Linked DNA regions of Oryzias latipes. The protein of the gene in region 1 interacts with the protein of each later gene in a biochemical or structural test. Links are inferred from orthologs where the notes say so. Each region holds a gene or a part of one and is shown in the gene's direction. Other genes may lie near its edges. The genes, in order: eed and ppp1r8.

The links.
Region 2: the proteins of eed (region 1) and ppp1r8 form a complex in vitro, tested with the Homo sapiens proteins (2 studies listed by BioGRID). The link is inferred for Oryzias latipes from reciprocal best matches to the Homo sapiens genes EED and PPP1R8.

The regions. Positions count from the first base shown.
Region 1 is NC_019860.2:2,256,463-2,266,353, reverse strand, and holds the start of eed (polycomb protein EED), read left to right. Parts: upstream 1-3,489; 5' UTR 3,490-3,516; coding exon 3,517-3,639; intron 3,640-4,356; coding exon 4,357-4,509; intron 4,510-4,597; coding exon of another isoform or gene 4,598-4,603; coding exon 4,604-4,696; intron 4,697-5,170; coding exon 5,171-5,236; intron 5,237-6,354; coding exon 6,355-6,480; intron 6,481-6,552; coding exon 6,553-6,634; intron 6,635-6,738; coding exon 6,739-6,830; intron 6,831-8,318; coding exon 8,319-8,452; intron 8,453-8,516; coding exon 8,517-8,622; intron 8,623-8,703; coding exon 8,704-8,862; intron 8,863-8,940; coding exon 8,941-9,014; intron 9,015-9,891. Other genes in the region: periodic tryptophan protein 2 homolog, read left to right, coding at 1-24, 105-255, 1,732-1,806, 1,889-2,042. UniProt on the Homo sapiens protein: Polycomb group (PcG) protein. Component of the PRC2/EED-EZH2 complex, which methylates 'Lys-9' and 'Lys-27' of histone H3, leading to transcriptional repression of the affected target gene.
Region 2 is NC_019874.2:22,799,577-22,809,369, reverse strand, and holds ppp1r8 (nuclear inhibitor of protein phosphatase 1), read left to right. Parts: upstream 1-3,922; 5' UTR 3,923-3,969; coding exon 3,970-4,022; intron 4,023-4,467; coding exon 4,468-4,528; intron 4,529-4,640; exon of another isoform or gene 4,641-4,779; coding exon of another isoform or gene 4,780-4,797; exon of another isoform or gene 4,798-4,805; intron 4,806-4,866; coding exon 4,867-5,020; intron 5,021-5,470; coding exon 5,471-5,688; intron 5,689-6,009; coding exon 6,010-6,154; intron 6,155-6,577; coding exon 6,578-6,642; intron 6,643-7,001; coding exon 7,002-7,355; 3' UTR 7,356-8,744; downstream 8,745-9,793. Other genes in the region: protein THEMIS2, read right to left, coding at 1-859, 1,162-1,587, 1,658-1,798, 2,065-2,257. UniProt on the Homo sapiens protein: Inhibitor subunit of the major nuclear protein phosphatase-1 (PP-1). It has RNA-binding activity but does not cleave RNA and may target PP-1 to RNA-associated substrates. May also be involved in pre-mRNA splicing.

The DNA.
Region 1 (9,891 bases):
TGGAGACTGTACCTCACGAACAGAGTGGGTGATTCCTCCGTTGGGTTTTACGAGAACTTTGGAAGTGGCCATCGTGTAGCTTGTCTGCTGTTGTGTCCCCGCAGTCCCGTTGGTTTGCAGATCCCTGCCGGACATCTACGTGGAAAAGCTGCTGGGATTTTTGGCCACATGTTTGGAAAAGTCCAGCCATTTGCAGTTTTACATGACCTGGGCCCAAAACCTACTCATGCTGCACGGACAGAAACTGAAGAATCGGTAGGTAACTTTGGGCCTAGTCACAGAACACTTCAGTGCGGCTAGCTAGTTAGCTCTGGTTCAGAGGTGTGCTAAGGACTGTAGAGCAGTATGGTTGTGACGCAGTATAGACGAAGGTCACATTAGCAACCTTACGATTGCTAGTTGACAAGGTCATGGTCTGTAATCCTTACGCCATCATATCTGAACGTCTGTGGGACCCACAAGCGAAACAAAGATCCTTCAATGTTCTTTTAACGGCGAAGCTTTAGCATCACATTCTTTCATCTGTTGTAACTCTTCAACGTTTTTTTTACGGTTTTATTACAAAAAGAAAAGCAGCTTTTCTCTTAGTTAGCCGATTTACGTTGATTGCGGAAATGGTTGAAGAGTGAAGGCCGTGTCACACAGCTACGACGTACGTATGTTTTGCGCATATTGTATGGATGAAAAGTCGTTATAGGTGGAAAAAGTGAGTTTTGGTCTATCCGTGAAATTTTCACAGATGTATCACGAATGAACCACATTAAAACTACAAAAGAAGTATGAATAAACCACGCTAAGAGCACATCAGTGTAGAACATGAACCGTGCATGATTAATGTGCTGTTTATATGCAACTCATTAGTGATTTGTGCATCAAGTACCTAATTTTTGTTCATACATGCGCCATAAATGCGATATAAAAGCTATACATCGGTGGTACACACGTAAAAAGTCCGTTGTAGATAGCCACGAATTTTCATATGCGTCTCACAAAAATCACGCACAATAGCCTAAGTTTTACATAAAAGTTGCATGTAAACTACGTAAAATACGCCATAACTGCGTATTTCTCAACTGGCCAAAAATTCTGAACAGCTTTAAACCAAATTCACGGACAGACCTGTCAGCAAAAACCCTCAACGGACATCTGAGCACATCGACAAATGACAAAGGCAAGAAAAAATTACGAATTCGGCATATCACGAAACACTCAAATTTTATCCTTGGAAAATTCGCAAAATGTATATAGTGGCTGTGTGTCGCGGGAGGTCTAATGCGACGTTCACACCGGACTTCAAAACACGCATTCCAGGAACCGCTTCCAATAAAAAGTCTATATAAATGCACGTTTTGGGCTTCCAAATTCAAAACTGTTGCGTTCATGCGTCTGTTTTTGGGCTCTACAGGACTCAGATTTGGTAGTGACTAATGTGTAGTACCAACAGTTACCCACAGGTCAGCGCGTTCTTCACACATGGCTGGTGTGTGTACATAGCTTGAATTGCGTGTTAAGTATGTGTCGCCGGCGACAACTCCAGCGTCAACGGGTTATGGTCAAGAACACGGGTTCTACACCACTGATGCTACAGGACAACAAAGTTGCTTGATTTAAAAAAATAAAAAACGAATTGATTAAAACCTTTGATCTGAATCATTTAAACTTAACCGATGTAGAAATATAACTCGGTAGAAAAGTTCAATTATCAAGATACATTTTCTGTTTGGTTTGCAGGTCGGGCTCCATTCTGGCCACGCTGCAGTCACTGCAGAAGAGCATTCAGAGGCACTTTGACAATCTGTCCAAACTGTAAGTCTCTCTTCAGCTTCACAGCCTCATTCAAAACTATGATGGCCCCCCTTTTTTTTTTAAGTGTCGATTCTCCTTCCAGGTGCGACTTCAACATGTACAGCATCCGCTACGCTGCTGCCTTGTCCAAACAGAGAGGGATGAAGAGGCCAGCGGCACAGGAGGACGAGGAAGATGAAGGACCGTCAGAGGAGATGAGCCAAGCCTCTTTGGATGACGATGACATGAGGCTTTAGCCGCTTGAAAGTCTCTTAGAAGCAACATTTTATAATAATAGAATCTTGTTTTGTACCTCTTTTAAAAATAAATGTATATATGTGGTGTTAAAAAGTTTGGTTTTGCTTCTCCGATCATTTTTTAAACTATTTTAACATGTTCTTAATGGTTTTTTTAGTGAAAAGTCTGCTGTTTTTAGCTAGTCGTTTTCTAGGACATAGTTTCTGGGAGAGCGGCTAGCTCACTGCCTTTTAAAATCTCCATGTTAGTGCCATTATGCGGCACGTTAACCAATCAGGGACCCAGCTTTGGGTACGTGATGTTTTCAGTGACTCTATCAGTGGATGGAAAAAAATATCTGGTTTGACTGGAGCAATCAAGCCAGCTACGCTACCGGACAGAGTAGTGACCTCCGATGCCCAGGGTCCAGCAGAGCTAGTGGAGCTCTCTATGTCACAGGACATTATTTAGGCCCTTCTGCAAATCTATTTATGCAGTTTATTATTCTGTGCTACAGGCATTGGACTGTGACTACACGATCCGACCTATCCGTTGCATTGAAGTTTTCGCATTTCCTCTGTTTAGGGGATTTTAGCCACCTCATACCTTTGACAAAGCTGTGACATCGACTCAAAGTCATTAGACTTGGCTCACAAATGACTGGTAAGTCCACTGTGCTTTGTTCCGAATTGAAATTTAAGGCTGTGTACAAATTCCTTCGCTATTCACGACTTAGTGCACTACATAGTGCGTTCGCTGCCGTTTGTACTGTCCGGATGTACAATTCCCAAATCGAGTGCCCTAGAAATCTGCCAGAAGTCTGCGAAAAACCAGTGTAGATCAATATTCACTAGATTGGCAAATATAAACATTGCATTTAATTTTTTTTGCGAAAAACAGTTTAAATGTATGTTTTTAATAAACCAACATTTTCATCATTGAACATGTGCGAAGGCTATGCGCAATTGCATGCTTTGCTGTCTTTATATTTTCTGTCACTACTACAAACTTTGTCAAATGGCAGTTTTTCGTGAGCTCCCGATTCACTATTTGAATAAAGAAATACTCAAATGCTATTTTAAACTATATTTAATTTCCTTTTTGACTACTACATTATCAGAAAAATCCTACAAAAACATGTTGAGAACAACATTTTTATCAGAGTGGGTCTTTCAAGGAAAAGAAGTGATAAGTGCGTAAATAAATTTCTGTCAAATGCTCAATATTGTGTTTTTTTTCTTTCCAAAATTTATAAGTTTTTGTCATCAAAATGCCAGCCAACTTTTATTTAGCTCATTCACGTCGTGTAAATTACGTCATTTTAAAAAACATTTTTTTGAACACAAATGTAACCATAACATTGATAAATCACAGGAAAAATTACATTTCTTTTTCTTTGTTTCCCGCTTATTGACGGGAAGGTCCATTAAAAACCCCCATTCCCAGCAGCCCTTGCGGCAGCGCACCGGAAGAGGCGGGACCCTGTGCCGAAAAATGAGGGAAAATAAGAGCATGTCCGAGTCCCCGTCGCAAGCGGCGAAAGAAACACCGGCGGCGAAAAAGCAAAAACTAAGCAGTGACGAAAACAGCAACCCCGACTTATCGGGAGACGAGAATGTGAGCAGCCGGTACCGGACTGTGTGTGTGTGGTTTTTTTTTAAAAACGACGAATGTTTAATCGCGCCGTTCACGTTAGCTTCCTGCTAAATTAGCAGCTAAAGCTAGCATCTTTGTCCGTTTTGGTTAAACACCTGTAGATGTGAAACTCCGTTGATTACAAAAAGCAGCTTCATGGTCACAAAAACAACAAACAAAACTAAAAGGTTACGTACATTTCAGCTTTGGACACGAACATGCTTTACTTTGAAATTAATTTTGTAGCTAGCTTGCCTTAGCACGAGCATCCTAGTGTTTTTCGGCCATTTTATAAAAAAAAAAGATTTCTTCAAGTAAACCTAAGTGATTTCGTCTTCAAATAAGGCTCACACAAACCGTTGTCCTAATTTTTTAGTTAGATTTGAAGTCCTCAACGTAACTAAAAGGCTAAAGCGAAAATTATTTTATATTGCTTGTATTTTTGTTGCATATTGTGTCCTATTTACATGTATTTAGAACTTTAAATCAATACAATTACCTGTAAATTTGAGAAGAGCAACGGAAATTTTGAAACAAACTGTGAAAGATGGAAAATTTTCAATTTCGTTTTGCAGCTTTTATTTTGAAAATTTTCAAATATTGTGCTTTTATTATGAAAAGTGAAATGCATGATGGAATGGATTTGTTTGAGGACTTGTATGTTTCTGAACAAAAAAAACCCTGACATTGCGTGTACAGGACGATGCCGTTAGCGTGGAAAGCGGGACGAACGCGGAGCGCCCGGACACGCCCACCAACACAACCAACGCCCCGGGCAAGAAGAGCTGGGGCAAGGGCAAGTGGAAGTCAAAGAAGTGTCGGTACTCCTTTAAATGTGTCAACAGTCTGAAGGTGAGTCCACCCCCTGCTGGCCAATCCGACGTTTGCAACGCTTTAAAAAACGAACTGACAATAAAATGGCGATTTTCCTCTGACCGAGGTTCAGGAGGATCACGGACAGCCGCTGTTTGGCGTCCAGTTCAACTGGCACAGCAAGGAAGGAGACCCACTTGTGTTTGCCACCGTTGGGAGTAACAGGGTAATTTCTCCCTCATGTTGATCCAATGTTTGTTTTAATCACGCAAATCTGTGCTAGCATTTTGAATCCAAAGATCGTAAAATTGACCGTATATTAGAACTGAACCGAGTCCATGTCCGAACAATTAACAAAAAATTATATAGTGCAGGACTGTCCAGTGCCTTGGATTTTAACGAAATCCGAACACTTGCTAGCTACTTATTAAAAAAAATTATTAAGTACGACGTCACCTATTTCCTCAAGTAAAAAACAAATAAGGATGAACGTTTTACGATTGTTCTGAAGACGAAATCATCGTCCAATGAAAAAATGTACTTTCTCAAATCCAGTTTGTGCAATTTCATAGTAAATGGAAAGGCAGCTAGTGATGTCTTATATAATATAGCAAATAATCATTACAGTTTTGTTTGAATGTTATGCCAAAGCTTGATCAGTTTTTCGGGACCCTAAAGTTGTTTGTTTGTTTTTGTGCAGGTGACTCTGTACGAGTGTCACTCTCAGGGAGAGATCCGACTCCTACAGTCCTACGTTGATGCGGACGTATCCTTCCACCTTCTGCGGTACAAACTAGTCCTTGGTGGGCTCCGGAGCTGGTCGGGGTGCGTGTTGCTGTTTTTATATGAAGCATTGTCGTTTACGACACACTTTGAAGCTTTGCGGGACTATTTTATGTCAAATGTGGCAAACAAGCATGGAGGAAGATGATCACATGCAGCATCAATGTCAGCAAGATGACCAGCCAATTCAATTACGGAAGCTCGTACCTTAAAATTGAATATTTATCTGTAGAAAAGCAACTTTTGTCACTTTCTTTTGGGACCAGCAGATGCGCTTGATGTTCTTGTTTTTTAACGCGACAGTGCCCCCTGGTGTCTGGTTCATCCTAAATATGAATTCTTGCTGTGTTTACTGATCTAGAGCCTATTTTCTGTAGTCGGTCAATGCTTTAGTTCCACTTTGGGGAACTAGGATTGTTGGGCATTATGGGTAGTGTAGTCAGGAGCCTGACGGAGTGATACGTGCACATTAAATAGACAAAGTGCACATGGATAACCACACAATTGACTAGAAAAACATCCCATCAACACCTTTGACCAATCGCCTTCTTCCTGCCCTTTCTACGCATTCTGGGTTGTGTAGTTGTGTCGTTTTTTATTCCTGACAAATGTCTTTCGTTACCTACACAAGAACCACAACTAAAATTAGAGAACATTAATGAGTTAAAGTCGTCCATTGTGATGTCATAGCACTCATGGACCACAGGGCATGGAAGCGTCCTCCACTGACATAAAACTACAAGAAAGGTTGTGGCGGTCTTACTGTTACCGAAGTTAGCCACTGTTACGTGTTAGTAAAGTATTAATAACAGATAATTACATGAATTAACCGGATGAAATACCATGGGCATGTTTTTAAATAAAACTAATACATAATTAATAACTAATTTATAATATTTCCATGTTAAAGTTTCATAAAACTATTGAGTTAATTAACTAAATTGCTGAGTCATTTTTTATCTGTTGTCGGGGTGTATCGCCCTAATCGGACCACACAGACTCTGCAATCCCATCCTAAACTGTAAGCACCTCCCAGCTCCAGAAACTTTCATTGGAATTGCAACGTTGCTATCGGTTTTCCTTGACTAACGCGCTCCCGAGGCGGACGAGAACTTCTACACGTGCGCTTGGACCTACGACACCAACACCAGCCACCCCCTCTTGGCCGTCGCCGGCTCCCGAGGCATCATCAGAGTGATCAACCACATCACAATGCAGTGCATCAAGGTAAACCCGCCCGTTACGACCGCTTAACAGGTGTTTTGGATGGAGGATTTCAGAGGTTCTGTTGGTTGACAGCATTACGTGGGCCACGGGAACGCCATCAACGAGCTCAAGTTTCACCCGAGGGACCCCAACCTCCTTCTGTCTGTCAGTAAAGGTAAGACGGTTCGTCAGGAGTTTATTGAACCAAACCCCTTCTGAGTCTTTGATGAAGGATCCTTGGGGTCCTTGATGCCAACGGGCGGGTCTCTATCTCTGCAGATCACGCTCTCCGGCTGTGGAACATCCAGACCGACACGTTGGTGGCGATCTTTGGAGGCGTGGAGGGGCATCGAGATGAAGTCCTGAGCGCCGTAAGCTTTGCTGTTTTAAAAACTCCCAGAAGAAAGCAGCAAAGGGAAAATAAAAACTGTTCTGGGATATTTATGTTATAGTTTTGTCAAACATAATCTGTTTAGAAATAAATGCAATTTTTGCTCTGTCTCCTATTAGCACTAGCAAGCCCCGCCCTTTGTGTGACTGTTTGTTACAGCGCTACCTCATGCAGCAGTACCCCATGTAAAGGAGCGTTAAAAACTGTAAAAATGAAACCAGAGCAATCGCAGCAAAATACAAATCCTAAAAAGTAAAAGGCAGAGCTTAGATCCCTGTGGTACACCATGATGTATACATTCCAAATGGCATTAAGCACTACTTATAGGACTAAACATGGTGAATTAGCTCATGACTAATCTGAGTTGTGATTAGCGCTTTTTTATATGTTGTTTATGGATTTAAACATATTTAGCTGAGTATCATCTGCAAAAAAACAAATGACATTTTTTTTCTGTGCTTCCCATTTGTGCTAGCAAGCCTCGCCTGCGCCTGTTTTGACTGTTGGTTACGGCACCACCTCGTGCAGTAAATGACCGTTAAAAACTAAAAATAAAATGAACGAGAGCAATCGATAATATACATATCCTAAAAAGTAAAAGGGCAGAGCTTAGATCCCTGTGGTACACCACGATAGACAAAGTCCAACTTGCATTAACCATTAAAAACATATGGAAGTAAGCATGGAGAGTTAGCTTATGAGTCTCTGAGACTTGCTTGTTATTAGCTGGTGGTTGTAACTCATCTTTTGGCGGCTCCTCTTAGTGGTCGCCACAGCGAATCACCTCTTTGCACAGGTAGTTTTGGCAGAGATTTCCAGACGGGCTTCCAGACACGACCCTGGATTTTATCCAGGCTGTGGACCGGCACAGGGAGACTCCTCATTGTTACATAAATTAGAAACTAGCATAAAGGGTCATTCCTAAGGACCCGCAATTGATAAAACTGTATTCATATTTATTTCTAGGTTCTAACATCATGTTAGTTTCGCATCATCTGCATAGAAATGAACAGACTTGCTGTTCCACCACCTATTGGCACTAGAAAACCTCTCACCCTGTGACTGAGCATTAAAAACTGTGAAAATCAAAGCAAAGAGAGCGAACAAATCATATAAGCAGGGGTCAGCGCATAGAGCCCTGTGGAACACCTATTTTACGTCTTAAAAAAATGAATGAAAACTTACGGGAGTTAGCATGACATTAGCTTCTACTGAGTTCTCCCTCGCAGTCTTAAAATGGTCCATAGAACTTTTCCAAGACTTAGACGTGTCACCGGGTTTAACGTGATAAGAGCTCACAGTCCAAAGCGTGGGAAAGTAGCTTCTCGCCAAAAAAAGGCAATTATCTGAGATTAGTAGACCTTTGTGTCTGGATCCGGATTATGATTTTAGAACTTTCAGAACCGTTAATCGGATTAAAAGGAGATCAGTCTGCTTTGGAAGTGAAAAAGTGCCCCCTTTTCTGCAGGATTTTGACCTTCTGGGTGAGAAGATCATGTCCTGCGGGATGGACCACTCGCTAAAGCTCTGGAGAATCAACTCGGAGAGGCTCCAGAAGGCCATCCGGGGTTCCTACGAGTACAACCCTTCAAAGACCAACAGGTGACGCTCCTCTTCATCGTCGCCGAGATGCTTTGGTCCCAGCTAAAACAAATCCCGCCCACAGGCCTTTTGTCTCCCAGAAGATCCACTTCCCGGATTTCTCCACCCGCGACATCCACAGGAACTACGTGGACTGTGTCCGGTGGTTGGGAGACCTCATTCTGTCCAAGGTTACGGTCCAAACTGCTGGTTCTGTTCACCTAATATTGTCCAAAAAATAGTTTGAAAATACCTTTTTTTTTTTCTTGCAGTCCTGCGAAAACGCTATTGTCTGCTGGAAACCGGGGAAGATGGAGGACGACATCGACCACATCAAGCCCAACGAGTCCAACGTGACCATTCTGGGCCGCTTCGATTACAGCCAGTGTGACATTTGGTACATGCGCTTCTCCATGGACTTCTGGCAGAAGGTCAGTCTAAGAACTTTTCACGAAGGTTAGCTCAGCGTCGTCTGCATAGAATGACGGCGTTCTTGTGTGCCCGTCCAGATGCTGGCTCTGGGGAACCAGGTGGGGAAGCTGTACGTCTGGGACCTGGAGGTGGAAGACCCGCACAAGGCCAAGTGAGTCACGGTTTTAGATTAAATACAAAAAAAAAGTGGAGGTTCTGTGTTTGCTGCTTCCTTAAAACCCACAGATTCATTAAATCCATTGCCAGGATTGAATGAAAAACAAAACTATTGAGAGAATCTGAGCCTAAATCGAGGTTTCTGAACGTCATTGTTTTCTGACAGGACCTGGAATCAGACAAATTAAAAACACTTTATTTTAGTTTACTTTTTGCCAACTTTTTTGTATTGGATCTTAAGTCTTGGTGAAACATCCACAGAAAAATCCATTTTTTTACTCTAAATTACTTTAAATTTGATTAGAACAATTCCCTTTAACATTTAAGGGAAATGTTAAGGGGAATTGTGTACAACATGAAAACGTATTTACATGAAATTTAACATAAAAAGGCTGTTTGAAATTGTTTTTAGTTTTCCGTAAAGCTCAAAGAGCCACTCTGGTCAAAAGAAAACAAAAACATTTAAGTAAAACGTTAAGGGGAAAATTATTTACTGCATTAAAATGTACTTATAGAAATCTAATATAAAGAAATCAGTTTTAATTAGTTTCCTTTTGCTTGTAGTTTTCTTTAAAGCTTACTCTTATAAACACAGGTAAAGAAAAAAACCCTTAACCTTTAAGTGAAAAGTTAAGGGACAACAATTTACTAATAAATGTAACTATAGGAAATCTAAAATCAGCTTTAATTGGTTCCTTGTGCTTTTAGTTTTCTTTAAAACTTACTCTGGTAAACTGTTTAAAAAAAAAAACTTAACGTTTAAGTGAAAAGTTAATGGAAAATCATTTACTACATTAAAATGTACTTGTAGGAAATCGAATATAAAAAATCAGTTTTAGGTAGTTTCCTTTTGCCTTAAGTTTTTTCAAAGC
Region 2 (9,793 bases), on another chromosome or scaffold:
GGCTTTTCGAGGAGGCTTGCCTGGATGACGGGCTCCGAAATAATTCCCTCTAACCGGAGACATGCAAACGCCGACAGTGGATCTGTCTCCAGTTCTGTATCACGACTCACCACCTTCACGTCCAGTGGAAAGCTACAGTTCTTAACCAATTCGCTGAGTTTGTACTTTTTATTATCAGGAAGTATTTCCACAAAGTGCCCTTGCATATAAAGAGGAAGAAAAACTTCATCTTTACTATCTTCCTTTTCAGCTGCCTCCACGTCGCTGTCTTCATCGTCCTCCTCGTCTTGCTCTTGCAAGCGTTGGCATAAAAGAGCCTCAACAGACTGCTTGTCTCCTTTGCTGTTCTCAGGAGATAACTCCATTCTCGTGCAACTTAGAATCTCCAGTTTCTCCCCAACACTGAGGGAAGGAAGGCCCTCCGCCACGTCCTCCTCACAGTTCTTTGTCACACTGACGTTCAGGCAGGGTGTCTGAGTTGAAGCCACGTACAGCTCATAGGCCGAGTTAAACTCTCTCGGTCTTTTCCGAAAGCGTCCAGTGTACTGCTGACACACGAGGAAGTACTGCTGCGTCTTTCGGCTCTTCGGGGTGGACACCATTGTGAAGGATTTTGTCGTTCTCTTGTGTAAAACCAAGCTGACCCCTTTGTTGAGCTCTGCTATCCATGTGCTTTTGAACATGTAGCCATTCTCTGGGCCATCTATGATCTCCACAACCGCGGGGAACATTTCGTCCGGCTGAGACATGACTTCTGTCAGACTGAGGGGCGCCACAAACTCTACATCCTGGCATGTGCTGGTGACATCCACCACATCTATCTCTAAACTGGATAGGAAATTCATCTCTTTTTTTCTCACTGTAGGGGAAAAATTGACAAATGTTAGTGAGAGACATGTGAAAAGAGGAAAGTCCATAAAGCTAAATAAAGATAATTGTTTCCCTCTTACGGCTTTCTAAAGAGTAAACATTAGTAAAATGATACTTAAAATGTTTCTGAGCAAAGATATTAAGATGTTTTACAAAGATCCATTTCTATAAATGTTGTTTTCGATTTGATCAATCCACATTCATAGTTTGACGAACTTCTCATTTACCACTCAGCTATGAAAATAAGGAACCAAAAAAATCCAATGTAATATGTAAAGAAGTTTTTCTTACTACTCATGATGGCCTGGATCTGATATATAGGAGAGAAGATTAAGGGTCGCTGACACTTGGCGGTGTTGCTGAAGCGAAACCTTCGACTGCGCAGTGATGGTGAAGACATGATCTCCTGGAGGCTGAAGTTTTCTTCGCTCTCGCACTCATAAAACTCCCCACGGAAAGACGTAGGAATGCACACTTCTGCAGAGGTCTCTTGTGAACCTTTGAGGTGGCATCGCACTTGGTCCTCTTGGCCCTTCTGCTGTTCGATTGAAAGCACAGTCAACACTTTCCCAGCCCCGAGGGTGAGATCCCCAAAGGTCATCTTAGAGCGGTTGGTGAAAGTGAAGGGAAGGCAGGTATCCAAGCTGACGGGCCTTAAACTCAACATCTCTTCGAGCGAACTGTAAGGCATCTCGTCTGGTACCACTTTGAACAGACCTAAAAACAGAAAAAAAATCAGCAAACTGCAGCAGACTAAACATTTTACTCAAGTGCATCTCAAACCAACCTTTGTGATTGATTGGCAACTCGAACTTTTCATCGTTGGAAACATCCTGACAAGAAACTGAGTGGAGCTCCAATCCAATGATCTTTATCAGATCACCGGTAGAGAAGCACACTTCACTACCAGAGAGTTCATACACAGAACCTGAACAGAGAAAGAAAGAAACATGATCCTTATAAAAGTTTAACATTTTTACTTAATGCAAATATGATCATCACATAAAATGCTTCATGAATGAGACCAGTGGAAGGAAGGAGGGAGGCACATACGCTAAAACAGGCTGAGAATGTTGAAATCCAGACGCAGTAGAACGTGTTTTAGTGCCCGCAGTTTCTGTGTTCCCTTAAACTTCTTTAAAATTTATACTGAAGTCTTTACTTTTCAAAGAACCAAAACCCCACAAGGCTTACCTTGAAAATACACTCCAGAGCACACTTGCAGAATCTTTGGCAAACTGGCCTTGTCCAAGGATGCAAAGTATTCTTGAAGCGGCAAAGCGATGGCACCTGCCATTGCTGTTTCTGTGCTGCTCTCAGAAATGAAAGCAGGAGGTAAATGACAAGCACAGCAAGAAAACAAAAAAAAAAGGAGATGCTCTCGCATCTAAAAACCACAAGAGTGAACAAGGAAGTTAAGGGAGTTATTTGCACAAGTTGTGCACACTGTGGTAAAGGCAGTGAGATATGACTCAGGTCTTGGCTCACAGACAATGTTACAGTTGTTGCAGCTTAATAAAATACACCACAAAGTGAATAAGAGTTTTTACAGATGTCATATATGCACATGAATGTGTGAGAGACAGAATCTGAGAAGAACAATTTCTCCTCTATCAATGGAACAAAACATAAAATGCATTCTTTCTGAATTAAAAATGTTCTAGAAGGACTAACTCTACTGCAATGCCTAAACCTTAGAACTCGTTTTATTTTATTTTACTGTATGCAAATGTACTTGGGTAAGGAAAACTGGATTTGGATGTGTGACACATTAACTAAACATGTGATCTTTACCCCTTTTGCAAATTATAGACGGAAAACATTTCATTTTTGGTTGAAGCCTTACATGTCTGAATCAAATGCAGTTAAAAGTTGTGTCTGCACCCCCTCTTTATGGATCCAGCTCACAGCGCTTTTCTGAAAATGTCTATCATCCTTTCTGAAAGTTCACTTCTGCTTCAGCTTTACACTTTATGCCATCTGTAAACAAAACTTTTACCATCTCCAGCTGACTAACAGAGGTCAACGCTGAACATATTTTTTTATTTAAAACATAGAACTCTAAATGGATCCAAGAGAGTCAGTTAATTTGAGGTAACCCCCCCCCCCCTTCCACCCACCTCAGGCCTGACCAAAAAAGCAAAAACCAGAAGGAGTTCACCCACTCACAAGCAGAAATAGATACAGACACAACTTCAAGCCCCCCAACACAGAATCCCACACATGTTGACCAATCATTTATTTCCAAGAAAATGTTTCCATTTTCAAATTAAGAGTTTAGAGACCTCTAGTGGTCTTTTGTAATTGAATTCTTCATGTTTATTAGGCAGCTTTACAAAGAAACATGCAAATCAAATAAAAAATTACTTGAATTATAACTGTTTTTGTTTGTTTGTTTTTCAAAATATAATATGATAATGTTTTTCATTAGTTAAGTATTTAAAAGTTACTCCCAAACCACTCATCATCTTGAAAAGAAACATTAAACATACAGTACAGACCAAACGTTTGGACAAACCTTCCCATTCATTTGAATGAGAAGGTGTGTCCAAACTTTTGGTCAGTACTGTAGTAAGAAGAACATCTTTCCTATGGGATAGATGGGGAGGCATGTGGTCGAGGGTTCTGCTGTGTAAACCATGAAGAGAAAAGAGAAAAGCTAACAAAAAAAGTCATTTTTGTCATCAAATATTTTTTATAACTTTTTCTGAGTCCCATTACAGGACTGTTGTGAAATTAAAATTAATGACATTATTATTAAAATTAATCTGTATATTTTTAATTAAAATATTACATTTTCTATGAATGGATTTAACACAAGTAAATCAAAATTGAACTTTTTTTGTTAATAAATCTTACAGTGCAATTAAGTTTTAAGTGAAGATCATTTGCCAAAAAAAAAAAAAAACTATTTCAAAAGTTTTACTAAAAAAGAATAATTCCCTGTATCCTGTACAAATCTGACGAATATTGCAATATGGTAAAATTATTATTAATATTATTACTCTTACTATCATTATTATCTCTGAACGACAACTCCCGACATCCCAATGTTTTGTTTACCCAGCATGCATTTTGGTTGCAATATGCTAAAGCAAGATGGCGACTAAAACAGGCAAAGACGGTCCTCCGCCTTTTGATTGTCCATCATGGTGAGAAAACTTACTTATTGCAGAACAAACTAGAAATTTGTAACGCGTTGCTGGATGTGCATTTGCAAAGCTATTTGACCTGTTCATTTGTGCCTTTTAATGCTAAGTAGAAGTCTGTAGTTGCAGTTGCTAACATTAGCTAGGTTAGCATGGTAACCCTTAGCGTTGTTGGCGTCAATTAACCAGAAGGGCTAGAAATTATTTATTCGAACGGGGAAAGCCGTGTTCTTTGTATGAGTAGAATTCACGTCCAGATCAATTAAAAATAATTATTATTATAAATGTGGAAAATATTTATCTTTAAAATATTTATTCTTGAAATAGCTAGCGCGGAGAGAAACATGTAAAAGACATTTGAATTCATTTATTGTAACATTAATTTGTGCATGATCCATGTTTGTTTGTTTTCCCTAAATATTGACAGTAGTTGATCGTCTGTTTACAGGGCAGGCAAACCCCCCACGGGGCTTCATCTTGACGTAATGAAGGGAGACAAACTGATAGAGGTAATAATTGAATGAAAATGTGCAGATGTTGGTCCTGTTATGCAGTAATATGACTGCTTATTCTGCTTTTGTGCCTTACTGTTGTTAAATCATGTATCGTGTAAGTCCATACATGCACCCATACACGAGCCTGACAGTCTGCTCTGTCCCTGATGTTTGAACATCAGGACAGGTCTGTGGCTGCATGGCTTCCAACGGTGCTACAGCAAAATCAGCCGTGAGGTTTAAGCTGATCAGTGGAAGCGACACTGATGAGTTATGACTCAGAGGTACACCTGTACTGTTGAAGCCATACTTTATGTGTGACTGACAGAAAAAACATTCTCTCTTTTCTATAGAAATTGATTATTGATGAGAAGAAGTTTTACCTTTTTGGGAGGAACCCCGACTGGTGTGACTTCACCATCGACCATCAGTCATGTTCCCGTGTTCATGCTGCCTTAGTCTACCACAAACACCTAAAAAGACTCTTCCTTATAGACCTCAACAGCAGTAAGGGATCGCTTTTAGTCCTACCTTTGTATTTGATTTATATTGTTGGAAGAAAGAAACGGTACACAAAGCAGAATGCAATACTGAAGCATTTTAATCATTTAGGAATTGAATACATTCTGCCATCACGTTTGATACATTTACGAATATTAAATCATATGAATAGAGTTAAAAGGATCACCACAGCTTCAACATCCATACACATTTTGTTTGTTTGTATTTCATGTGTTGTGATGAAATCACGGATCGTATCACTGAAAAATTTAGATTTGATCAACTTTCTGACTTTAAAGCAAATATCTTTCCCAATTGCTAAAAGAGTTGGAGTGTACGGTGGTGGTAAAAATTGCATCTTGTTTTGTTGTAGTATTGTTTCATTGTTATGACAGTGTTGCGTTACCTCTTTATTTTATTCTTTTGGGAAACCTTATTTGATTGTTACCCTTTCAGCACATGGTACTTTCCTTGGACACATCCGCCTCGAGGCCCACAAGCCTCAGCAGGTTCCTATAGACTCCACTTTAGCTTTTGGGGCTTCCACGCGAACGTATATCATCAGAGAGAAACCCCAAACCCAAGGCAGCACTAGCACAGGAGACAATAAGACGGGAGATGACGAGGAGCTCAAAGGACTTCTAGGTCTTCCAGAAGAAGAAACAGAGTTAGATGTACGTTATGTTTTCTGATCAATCTTGTTTTCATCTCTGTTTATTCCAGTCTTTTTGCCTGTTGATTCTTGAACTCTGGCTAAATTTGTCAAACTACTAAAGTTTAAGATTTGCTTGTTTGCTTTTATACAAATAGACCTGCATATTTTACTTTGACCATGTGTGCATGGTCAAAGTAAAAGTAAAAGTAAGTAGTGGCAAGGTTTAGTTTCAGAATACTACTATGTTTTTTCCCACTTATGAATCCTTTAATCCCGTCTACCGGTTGGTTGAAATGTTGTAGCCGCCTTACAAATGTTTGTGGTTTCTGAATCCTGTCAGAATCTGACAGAGTTCAACACAGCTCACAACAAGCGCATCTCGCTATTGACCATTGAAGAAGGCAACCTGGAAATCCAAAGACCTAAAAGGAAACGCAGAAACTCCAGAGTCACCTTCAGTGAAGAGGACTCCATCATTAACCCAGGTACTTACCAGTGTAAAAAATAAAAAACTTCATTTATGAACTTCTTGTTTTTAATCATAGCTGTTTTCACCTCTTGAGACAGGATGAATATTTTTTTGGTAGATTTCCTGTGGACTAGTTCTTTATATATATATATATAAGTTTATGTACTGGTAAATAGTTTTTTGTTTTTTTTGGGGGGGGTGTGTAGTTAATTTCCCTTTTTATTAAAGCACAGTCAAATAATTCTGTCAATGTTGCTTTCTAAAGATATACACCCAAATTTTAGTTTATGAAAAGGCTGAAAAATATTTGTAAAATACATTGATATTACTTTTGCAGTTGTGTCAAAGTGTGTCTATTCCATGTTATTCTCCAGTTATTAGGATTCTCATGAATGTAGATGTGTGAAAACATCTCTAAAAGGCTTTTTCTCCTTTTCAGAGGATATTGACCCCTCGGTCGGTCGCTTCAGGAACATGGTGCAAACAGCTGTCATCCCCATCAAGGTAAACTGTCGAAGGATTTTGGTGATTATTTGTATGAGAACTGGACCGAGCAAGAATGGTTTACTTCCAACAAAATGAAATTAATTAACGTTCAACATGAGACCATAATCTTATATTGAGGCGTCTGATTGGTCAGTTTATAACATGAATAACTTGCATTAAAGAAAAAAAATAAGATTAGCAAGAAGATGTTTTTGAAGGTAAAAAGAGCAAGAATAGTTATTTAATCGATGTGAACATATAGTGTTATAATTTAAATTCTGAACAGACTTTATGCCTTCTGTAAATCTGTAAAAGAAACAAAGTTGTACAGCTTCCAGCTTAACCCATCAGACTAATAGTTGACTTTTTTGTTGTAGAAACGCAGAGCGGAGGGCCAAAACACTCTGGGACTGGACGAGCTGACAGCAAAGCGCATGCATGGCTACAGCTTAGGTGGTGGTCTGTATGGGGACTTGCCTCCCACCAGTCATGAAAACCAGCCTACAGGAGCGCCCGGGGGTGCTGCCATGCAAGGAGGACTTCCTTTGCCCTTCCCAAACCCAGCGCCGGAGGTGGACCTGGCCCCAGAGGCTCCTCACCCCCCAATTTCTCTCAATCCCACGCCCGTCACAGCCCCGTATCTACCAGAGACCCTCAACGAGCCACGCAAAAAGAAGTACGCCAAAGAGGCTTGGCCAGGCAAAAAACCCACCCTTTCGCTACTTATCTGATGAGTTCTGGAAAGCTTCTTTCTGCCTCTCAGGTTACCAGAAGATGGGCCAGTCACTGTGACCTGGCAGAGATGGAGCCATTCACTTCTATTTACCCCCCATCAATTTATAGTGTTACTCATCGTCAAACAAAAGTGCAGCTTACATTTTTACCGTAGGTCTGCCTCACTAGAATCCACTCCTATTAATAAACAGTTTGGTTGTTTGTAACTTTTTTTGTCTGGAAATAAAATCCACCTAAGTTTAAAAAAAATCTTAGCAGTTAGTGCATCAGTTGAAGAGTGGCAGATAGTTGTCAGTGACGGGTGTGGAGTCACCGCAATGTCCATGGTAGTTCCGATCAGTGTGAACTTTTTTTTTATTTCTGTTTTGTTGGTTTTTCTGTTGCTATTCAAGCAAATGTGCTTTTATAGACCACACCAAACTGAGAGGTCAGGAGAGAATACATCTGTAAATGGATATTTTGGAAAAATGCAGGGCTATTCTCTTTATCTTTTTTTTTACTTGTACTGTTTTAAAATGTTTTTACATTTCATTTTTGTTTCCAATTATCCCGATTCTGTGTATTAGATCTTTTATGGACTAGGTGTTGTATTCTCCTGGTAAACCAGTAGGTGGCGACTCAAACAAAGGATTCAGATTGGTTTGAAGTTTGGCTGCAAGCTCTAAAGTGATCATTTGTCTGATCTATTGCACCTGAATCTAAGTAATCATCAAAGGAATATTGCAAAGAATTGTTTAATTCTTAAAAGTTTTGGCATTTCCTGGTCCAAACAATACACAACTCAACATATTGGACTTTTTCCTGGGATTTGAAATGGGTTATTCCATTTTCTTTTAGCTAATGACAGAATTGTGTAATCAATATTGGTTGGACTGAAAAATCCTTGGACATAATGGTTTGAAATCTGTTTTACTAACAATAAACCTGGTCATAAACTTTAACCTGTAACAGTTTACACGGCTTAACTAACCGAAGAAAGCCAACTGCGTCTGAGCACACAGGAAAAACTGCTGAAAGATCACAAGATTCTGGAATACCTTAAACTGACTTTGAAGAACTATGTGCATTCAAAGTTGTCTGGGCTTAAGGTGCATAACGTTTAATAATTTGAAACAGTATAATATTTCCCAAAAGGTGGTTTTTTTTTTATGTCTGCCAGTACAATCTATGAGCTTCGAGTCGACTCACTCAGACCTGATGCAGCAGTGATTTTGGAGATTTGGTGAAAGCTTCAGGTCAGTGTGAGTTCACATACGGGCAAACAGTTTTAAGAAAGATGCTCCATGTTATTGGATGAATAAGTAGTTGGCGTCCTGCGTCACAGCGTCCAACTCCTAACAGATATACAGATTTCAAGAGATTAAAAAAAAAAAAAAAAAGACATTTCTTGCGTCTTTAACTGTTGACTTTTTGTCAGTTAAGTGTCGATTTTGTAATGACTGTAAATAAAAAATACTTTTTAAGCACTTTTGCTTCTTTTGTGATTATGTTTGTTAATGCATCCTTAAACATGTTGGAGAGGGTTTTTCAGGATTAATTGGAACACTTTTAGACATTTAAAACTTATTTTTTTCTGTGTCAACATAGCCGTGGAAAGTGAACGCAGCCTCTGCAGCATGTTGCACTTCATTCATGTCTCAAAATACAATCTTGAGCACATTTTACATCACTAAGCTCTAGGTTTTTATTTATTTATTTTGTATGCAATGACTTGTTGAATTTCCAACTTCTGATAACGTCTTGCATTGTTTTATGAGCTGGTCTGAAAGGAAGTAATGTGGGTCAAGTGTGTGTCCTCTCTTCACCGACACGTAAAGAGAGGAAAGGTGATGAGGTTTATAGAGATCGTTTATTATTCTCCAGCTTGTTCGAGAGCTAAACATTAACTACGGTAAATATTCAATAATCAAATGCTCTTTGGACTTGTCCATAAGACCAAAACAAGCAGCTTTAACTTTACAGTCCTTCAATTTTTTATCTTAAATTATATTTTAAAGGTAGCTCTATGTGTAAAGTAAAAAAGTAAGAATATGACACGAACCTCTTTAATTGGTATTTTATTTTATTGAAATGTAAATTCAAAAATGCTCCTTTTTTGTGTGATTTATGGTAACTTCGTTTTTTTTTTTTTAAAGCCAATAAACCAAAAACATTGGCAGAGAGCTTTTTGGACATTTCTTTATTGTTTAGGATGAGATAAACTCAAGCAGATGAAGCCTCAGAAAGTTATTTATTGGTAAATAAAGTTTGGTTGATCATTTTTGCTTGGAAATTTGGTGAATGTTTTTGGGGTGTGATGGTCTTGGTTGAATGTTATGAGTGTATGCTGCAGACAGGAGCATCATCTTCATGCCGTACCGTTCACCTTTGTTCTGCTACACACAATAGTTTTTGAAGAAGCATATTCCGTTTACAGCTGCGGGCGCGTGGAGGT